Linked DNA regions of Xenopus tropicalis. The protein of the gene in region 2 purifies or fractionates together with the protein of the main gene of each other region. This does not show direct contact. Links are inferred from orthologs where the notes say so. Each region holds a gene or a part of one and is shown on either strand. Other genes may lie near its edges.

Region 1 (3,520 bases), on a different chromosome or scaffold from region 2:
CCCCGAATCAGTCGTACTGGCTGATACATTATATAGCTTTAAGAAGGGGCTGGATGGATTCTTAGCAAGTGAGGGAATACACGGTTATGGGAGATAGCTCTTAGTACAAGTTGATCCAGGGACTGGTCCGATTGCCATCTTGGAGTCAGGAAGGAATTTTTTCCCCTCTGAGGCAAATTAGAGAGGTTTCAGATGGGGTTTTTTGCCTTCCTCTGGATCAACTTGTAGTTAGGCAGGTTAGGTATAGGCATTATGGTTGAACTTGATGGACGTATGTCTTTTTTCAACCCAACTTACTATGTTACTATGTTACATGCTTCTGGTTAAGGTTGGGTCATCTTTGAGGTGAAGGAAAAATATCAGTGCGACTGGCTCTTCCAGGGGGATTAGATTAAAATGGACCATCAGAACAGGCTTAGTTGGGAGTGAGGAGTATATCAGGAGTAAATGGCGATTACATTTTGTTGCTGCCGACAATTATTTGTAATGAACTTAATTTTGAAAAAAATCTTTTTATTCTTCTTAACTGTAAACTTTGCTCAGTAGAAAGCCTAAGATACACAACACTTTTACTGGTGGCAGTTATCTTTTAACAGTATACAAGTGCCAACTTGATTTTAAATGCCCAAATACATATAGCAAGGTACATGTTTATGCCCCAGAACATGTAGCAGTGCCAGCTTGATGTCAAATGACTCCAGATATAAAGCATTATGTATAATAAGTGCCAACCTCATGTTTAATGAGAAAAGTGTTTTAGTACTTTTTGCTTCCCTGTATACAGCTCACCTTTCCACCCTCTTCCAAGAATCTGACACCTATCACTGGCAGCAAATTTACAGCAGCCCTTCGATCATCCAGTGTGGCAGTCTTGGTAACTGCTGCTCAGATTGCAGGACTATTTCTAAACCAATGGGATCCTGCACCGGGATCTCGCTCCCAGTGGGTTCAGCCTAGTGCTGGGGCTATTTTTTATTTTTTTTTCAAGAAGCCCCCATACCACCTTGTTTTGGGATTGATGTATAAAGGCTTATAACAACTAAACTATCTAATATAACTGTCATGGTGTTATTGATGTACCACAGTTCAGCCAGAAAATCCCCCTCTATCTTTAAAGCAGAAGGAAAGGTAAAATCATTGGAGGGGTTCTAAAATGTTAGGCACACCCCCAGTGATTGTAATCGCTTGCCTTATACCCCGGAGTGGTGCACCTATTAGAAGAAGAAAGAGGATCACTCTCACAACTACCCAGGGCTGGGGTATAAGGTAAGCGATTACAATCACGGGGGGGGGGGGTGGTGCCTAACATTTTAGAACCCCTCCAATGATTGTACCTTTCCTTCTCCTTTAAAGAGATATGGACACCAGAAATGTAACTGTTTTTTTTTTTTATATATATCATAACCGTGTCTTTGCATGCCATTTATCATTTTGCCCTACAAGTATTTGCCCACTGCTTTTATATTATCTAATCCCCCATGTTCCTCTATGAGGGGGCTGCCTTATTTCTGCAGCAGGAGTTCGTTGGCACTAGAAGCTATAACTGACAGGCTGAGAAGGGACAGTCAGGTTTGCAAAACAGTCAGGTTAAGGGACTTCAAATAGCAATTATTAACAAAAGCGGCCCTATCAGTGAAAAATGATCAACATGACCTATAGGTAACTTTTTATGTACATTCATATTTTAAAAAGTAGTTTTTTTTTGTGTGTCAGTATCACTTTAATATATGACTGTAAAGATATTGTAACTATTGGATTTAGACTGGATTTTGGTTTATGTAATAAAACTACATTTTTTTTTCTCACACAATTTATTAAATGCATTGTTATTTGAGGAAATGGGGAGACAACTAGTGGGGACCATATTACTGCATTAATGGATTAAAAACTTTACAACTGGGGGGGGGCGGGGGGTTGTTGAACAAGGATTATGACCTGTATGTTTTACTTTGTTTATTTTGCATGAAACTATTTAGATGCAGACATACCTAATTCTACAGATTTGATATTTGTAAAAAACTATTTCCTAACTCTGTTAGACTCGCATTGTAATGCAGTTCCTTCCTAAACCTGTTTCATAGTGAAGTGATATTGGGATTTGAAATCCTTCTGCTTTCCAGAGAATCTGTGCAACCACTGTTTCTTAAGCCCCGGAATTTATCACTTCACAATGAAACAAGGTAAAGGATGGGTTAGTAAATGTATCTGTAATGCATTTTGCCCCTTGGGGCTTTATCAACTGGATTAATTAGCCTACAACAGCTGCCCAGACGTTGACTAGATCTGCTTTAATTTTTGTTTTTTTTGGGGGTTTTTTTTTTTTTTTACTCGTAAGAGCAAACCCTGTCAAGGGTGGCTATATATAGAACTTTTATAAAATTTTGACCCACCTCCAGAATGTAATTCTAATCTGTTAGGTACACTGATTTTGAAAATAAATTGGCAGCAATATTTTTTTCTCAGTTTTGTGTGTAAATATTTAAAGTTGTGTCTGTTTATTCCTCAGGACTTTCAGATCTCACTGGCAGTGTCAATCTTATCTTGCACTACAACTTGGAACATTCCTTCAGTAAATTCTGTGGAAAAAAAATGAAAGAGAAACTCAGCAACTTTCTTCCAGATCTGCCAGGTAAAAAAAAAAGGGAGGTGGTATTAGCCTTTTTAACATGTTTTTACAGCTGACCATTGAAAAAGAAAACAAAAAGGCATTTAGAATAAGTAGCTTTGTGGAAGTTAAATGGTGATGAAGGGATAAAAGGAGATTTTTGCCTAGTTTATGTTAACAAAGCCTTGTTTGATGCAACATACACAGTTATAATTCTGTTTACAGTACAACTCACCCACTCCTGACTGGGCTAGCAGCTAATTTTATTGTTTCAATTACATTAAAAAACACATATTTATAAAGCCCCAACATGTTCCACAGAACTATACATTAAAGGGGGTGGTGTATACAGTGAACACACAGATTACATCAAAAAAAGAACAACCAAAGCTCAATACAAGAGTTAGTGGGCCCTGCTTAACATCAGCTATTGCATCCAGACCCACCTGATAGGGACACTGATGGCTCAGCCCAACCTAGTCATTATTTGACACAGGATATGGTACAACCCTCTGTATTAATACAATTTGGAGGCTCAAAACCCTATTCTTATTACTAGATTTAAAGTCACAGCCTATTCACAGTATCAATCCAAACTATAAAGGGAGTTTGCGAACAAACTTCATGTTGAATGAAATCTGATCTGTTGTTGGCTCGGCCCACTTTTTCTAACCTTGGACCACAGTTATATAGTAAGAGCCACTGTGCAAAGTTTTGTAATAGTGTCTGAATAGCAGCAAATTAAATTTCCCACTGAAAGTCAATGAGTCACATCTGATTGGCTGTTGGTGGCTCCGCCCACTTTTTAACCTGGAACTGCAGTTACCCAGTGACTAACTATGCAGAGTTTAGGGACCCTAGTATTAATAGTTAAAGAACGGCAGCAGTTTAAATTTAAACCGATAAAAGTCAATA
Region 2 (4,313 bases):
TTTGGTATTCCCTTATAACACAGGTATATTGGTAAATTGTGACGTACCTTTCTGATTACATCTTGTCCCCTGCAGTGTATTTACTGGGGTAAGTAGGAAACCTAATCTTGCCTGTGAAGATTATTTGCTTATAAACATATATTCAAATTTATCAGTCACCTCTTTGGCCATTCAGCATTGTTTCTAGTTAAAGAAATACTGTCGTCGGAAAATGTTTTTTTCAAAATGCATCAGTTAATAGAGCTTCCCCAGCAGAATCCTGCATTGAAATCTGTTTTTCGAAAAGACAAACTTTTTTTATATTTAATTTAAAAAATTTCACATGGGGCTAGCCATGATCTTCATTTCCCAGGGTGCCACAGCCATGTGACCTGTGCTCTGATAAACTTCATTTACACTTTACTGCTGAGCTACAAGTTGGAGTGATATCACCCCCCTCCCAGCAGAACAAAGGGAAGGTAGCAAGATAGCAGCTCCCATTAGATATCAGAATAGCACTCAATAGTAAAAAATCCAAGTCCGGTTTTGGACTCCTCCAGTTACATGGGAGTAGGAGAAACAACAGATTGCCGAAAACAGTTCTAATGTGTAGTGCTGGCTTTTTCTGAAGACTCAGACACAATGCACTGAGACTGCTGCCTACACACCAATATTACAACTAATATCCTGCTGGGCCCCGCTAGACCCTGCTGGCAGCCCACCTCTCTCCTTTATGGCCCCAACCCACCCAGCACTTTGCTGGGCCCTGGCAAATTCATGCTTCAGTGATAAGCCCTAGCCACCTGCTCACCTATCCTTCACCTTGTTGGGCCCCACCAGGCCTGGCGACTATGTCCCGAAACAAAACCATTTTCGTGTTGAATGGGAGTTTAAGTTAAAAATGGTCATGTGTTCCGCCATCTTTAATTTTTTATGCAGGCAAAACTTTCAGAGGTGGCGCAGGTAAGAGAATGAGGATCTAAGGAGCAATAGAAGAACAGATATAATTGTCTTTGACAGAACAGGGCAAGCAGCATGAAGGCATAAAGAAGAAAGGTTTATGACATGCCTGAGATAAATGTGCTGATACCTACTTGCTGCATTCATTTTACTGGCATGTGTAAAGTTAATACTTACATTATCAATTTCTGCAGGTCTAGAGTAAATGTGATCATAAATTATTTAACGCAGTGATCTTAAGTGTATGTCTGGGTAACTATAACTAAAGTGTGTGGCAAACGGCATAAAAATGTTGGCACCATGCTCAGTGCATTTTTAGACCCCAAAGTTTCAGATTTACCGCTAAAGCCCCATATTTTGTTGCAATATACTTGAGACATGATCTACAATGTTAGGTGATGGGTACCAGGTGCCCCAGTCCGACACCGCCTTTAACTAGTCATCCTGATCGTTAATGATCCATATAGAACTCAAACTCTATTGTTTGTAGCCACGAAAGGCAACCCCTTTCTGTACGCGCTTGATCTCTGTGGTCTCCGGTTCTCAACTTCCGGTTTCCGGTTTCTAAGTTGCTGTGTTGAGAGGATGCCGTACGCGAACCAGCCTACAGTGCGGATAACGGAGCTCACTGACGAGAATGTCAAGTTTATCGTGGAAAATACTGACTTGGCGTAAGAGACCTTTGACTGTTATGGCAGAATAATGGGTTTAATTGCTTTTTTCAGAACGATGTGTGGTGTGCATGTTGCATACTCGCTGCCCCAGACTGCCTGTCTCTCGAATCCCAATTCCTGAGACCCCCACATTTATAATGAGTGGTAAAGTGCGAGGGAATGGTTAGGTGGAAATAGAGTTTAGATTTTTATTTTTCCAACTTCGGCTAGGTATGATGTGGTACTTATTCACCATTGTGTCATGTATCTACTTTGTGTTATTCTGTTGTTTCTAATTATCCTAAAAGTGTAAATAATAGTGTGACTATATCACCATATGATGACGTATGTCATGCTGGGTACCACTGGTTTCCTGGACGCATCTCTTCTCTAAAGGGCAACTAAAGACATGATAGAGGTGTGACAAGTTGGCTGTTAGGCGTATGTAACCCACATATTGTACATCGCTGCAGAATATGTTGGCGCTTTATAAATAAATGTTAATGTAATGTAATCACTCCTTCTTTGGGTTCCACTATTTTCTGGTGCTTCTGTATGAAACTGTTTCATTTCCCTCAGGGTCACCTGTTTGCATGGATGCCCATTCTTCTTTTTAACCTTTTTTGATTGAGAATATTTATTTTTGGTAGTTCTTTTAACCCTTTTGGTTTCCCATGTGTTCAGGAGCAACTTCTAGTTCACCTTTTGTGTCTGTTAGTAGATTATATAGTGCCTGGCACCTAAAGGGTTCATTTAAAAAAAAAAAAACTGCATGTTTTCATACCAATATCGCTAACATACTTTGTAAAGGAGACATATTGGATAAATGGGAAAAACGCTAATTTTGTAGGCAATTATGAATAATATACGGTTCTGGTTTCTGTTTGTGCTAAAAATTAATCTTCTCTGTAAAAATGGCCCCTTTATTGGAGCTCCCTAGTGTGAAATGAAGAATGGGCGTGTCCTAACAGTACCTGCCAGAAGCACAGTAGGAGGGGGAGAGCCAATCACAGCCCTGCACTCAGACAAGCAAAGACAGGCTTCAGTTCCCTATCAGGTCAGCCTAGCTGCTGATTGGTTCCTATCCTACAGTGCAGTGTACGGAGGGCCGCCGGCTCCCCAGCTCATCCAGAGAATTCAGCCAGCAGGAAGTGGAACAGATGGGCGGGGCTAGTGGGGTTTTTGTGGAATTTCTCAATAAATCAGTCTGAAACACAACATTATTAAGCACAATCGTTCTATATCTAGAGGAGTATAATTCACTATAATTCATTCATAATTTTTATAGGATATGTCTCCTTTAAGAGGCCTCAAAGGCATAAAACTAAATTTAGAATTAGAAGAAATGGAACACTGCTTCCCATGTAAGGTAGTAATCATGCTGCACTTGATTTTTTATAGAACCATTTTTAGGAAATGTGTATTTGAGTGCTAAAAATATGCAGGTATTATTGCTATAAAATAATGAGTAAAAGGAAAAATTGTTACACTTGTTCCTCTGTATAAGCAGCCATTAATTATCTAATACTAATAAACCTTTTTCTATTTCAGAATTGCTAACTCGATCCGTAGGGTGTTCATAGCAGAAGTTCCTACTATAGGTATGTGCTCTTGTCCTGCATAAGAAAGGTTAAAGGGCCCTTGTTCAGCATGATTGCAATAAAGCTTACCTGAACAGGAAACACTCAGTGCAGTGTTTGTGAGCATTAATGTTTTATTACATTAGATCTCAAAACCCCTTGTAATGCATTCTGGTGCCCCTTACATTAAAATAACACATTTTTGTTGTTTATGTTTTATTTTACAGCTATAGATTGGGTGCAGATAGATGCAAATTCCTCTGTTCTTCACGATGAGTTCATAGCTCACAGAGTTGGTAAGTACTTAAAGATAAATTTACATTGAGTAGCAGGGCAATATTTCTAGTTAAGGCTACTTGCACTACTAGCAATACGTTGTCTAGCTTGTTTTGCCATTAGGGAGAAACTCCAGTTGCTATTGTACAGCGCTGCGGAATATGTTGGCGATAAGTGATACTGACAAGAAAAAACTACTTTTTAAATTATGAATCTACATAAAAAGTTACCAATAGGTCATGTTGATCAGTTTTTGTTGATAGGTTTGCTTTTATTAGCAATTGCTACTTAAACCTGACTGTTTTCCCAACCTGACTGTCCCTTCTCAGCCTGTCAGTTATAGCTTCTAATGCTAACGGACTCCTGCTGCACAAATATGGCCGCTCCCTCATAGAGGGACATGGGAGATCAGATAGGTAATGTAAAAGCATCTTGCAAATACTTTTATGGCAAAATTATAAAGCTCATGAAAAGACAGTGTTATGATAGATATAAAAAAGGTTTTTTTTTCTGGTGTCAGTATCTCTTTAATAATAATAATAGTGCAAGTGTGTTATTGTCTAATTCTGCATTTCTCTCTCTCTCTTTTTAGGATTGATCCCTTTGACCAGTGATGATATAGTAGATAAACTGCAGTACTCTAGGGTAAGTGCTTTGTATTTGAAACTAATTAAATCTATTTTAAATTAAAGAGGTTGTTCACCTTTCAAGGTATAGTGACACTTTCAGAGTTTTAACAGGAATGCGTTTCTAGACATCCATACGTTAATAACCTGTGTTGGTCTCTGGCAGGGCTTGGAGTTCAACAGCTTTGTGAGTGATGGAGTGCTTGGGGGTGGGACAAGTTTTTGATAAGATGAAGGAC

Evidence for each region. The genes of interacting proteins can lie anywhere in the genome.
Region 1: the proteins of polr2c (region 2) and med19 purify together in Homo sapiens (affinity purification with mass spectrometry; 4 studies listed by BioGRID and IntAct, with this or other methods). This does not show direct contact. The link is inferred for Xenopus tropicalis from reciprocal best matches to the Homo sapiens genes POLR2C and MED19.

Annotation. Positions count from the first base shown.
Region 1 is NC_030683.2:55,860,804-55,864,323, forward strand, and holds part of med19 (mediator of RNA polymerase II transcription subunit 19), read left to right. Parts: intron 1-2,506; coding exon 2,507-2,629; intron 2,630-3,520. UniProt on the Homo sapiens protein: Component of the Mediator complex, a coactivator involved in the regulated transcription of nearly all RNA polymerase II-dependent genes.
Region 2 is NC_030680.2:76,284,850-76,289,162, reverse strand, and holds the start of polr2c (DNA-directed RNA polymerase II subunit RPB3), read left to right. Parts: upstream 1-1,499; 5' UTR 1,500-1,524; coding exon 1,525-1,610; intron 1,611-3,143; coding exon 3,144-3,193; intron 3,194-3,399; coding exon 3,400-3,468; intron 3,469-4,040; coding exon 4,041-4,093; intron 4,094-4,313. UniProt on the Homo sapiens protein: Core component of RNA polymerase II (Pol II), a DNA-dependent RNA polymerase which synthesizes mRNA precursors and many functional non-coding RNAs using the four ribonucleoside triphosphates as substrates.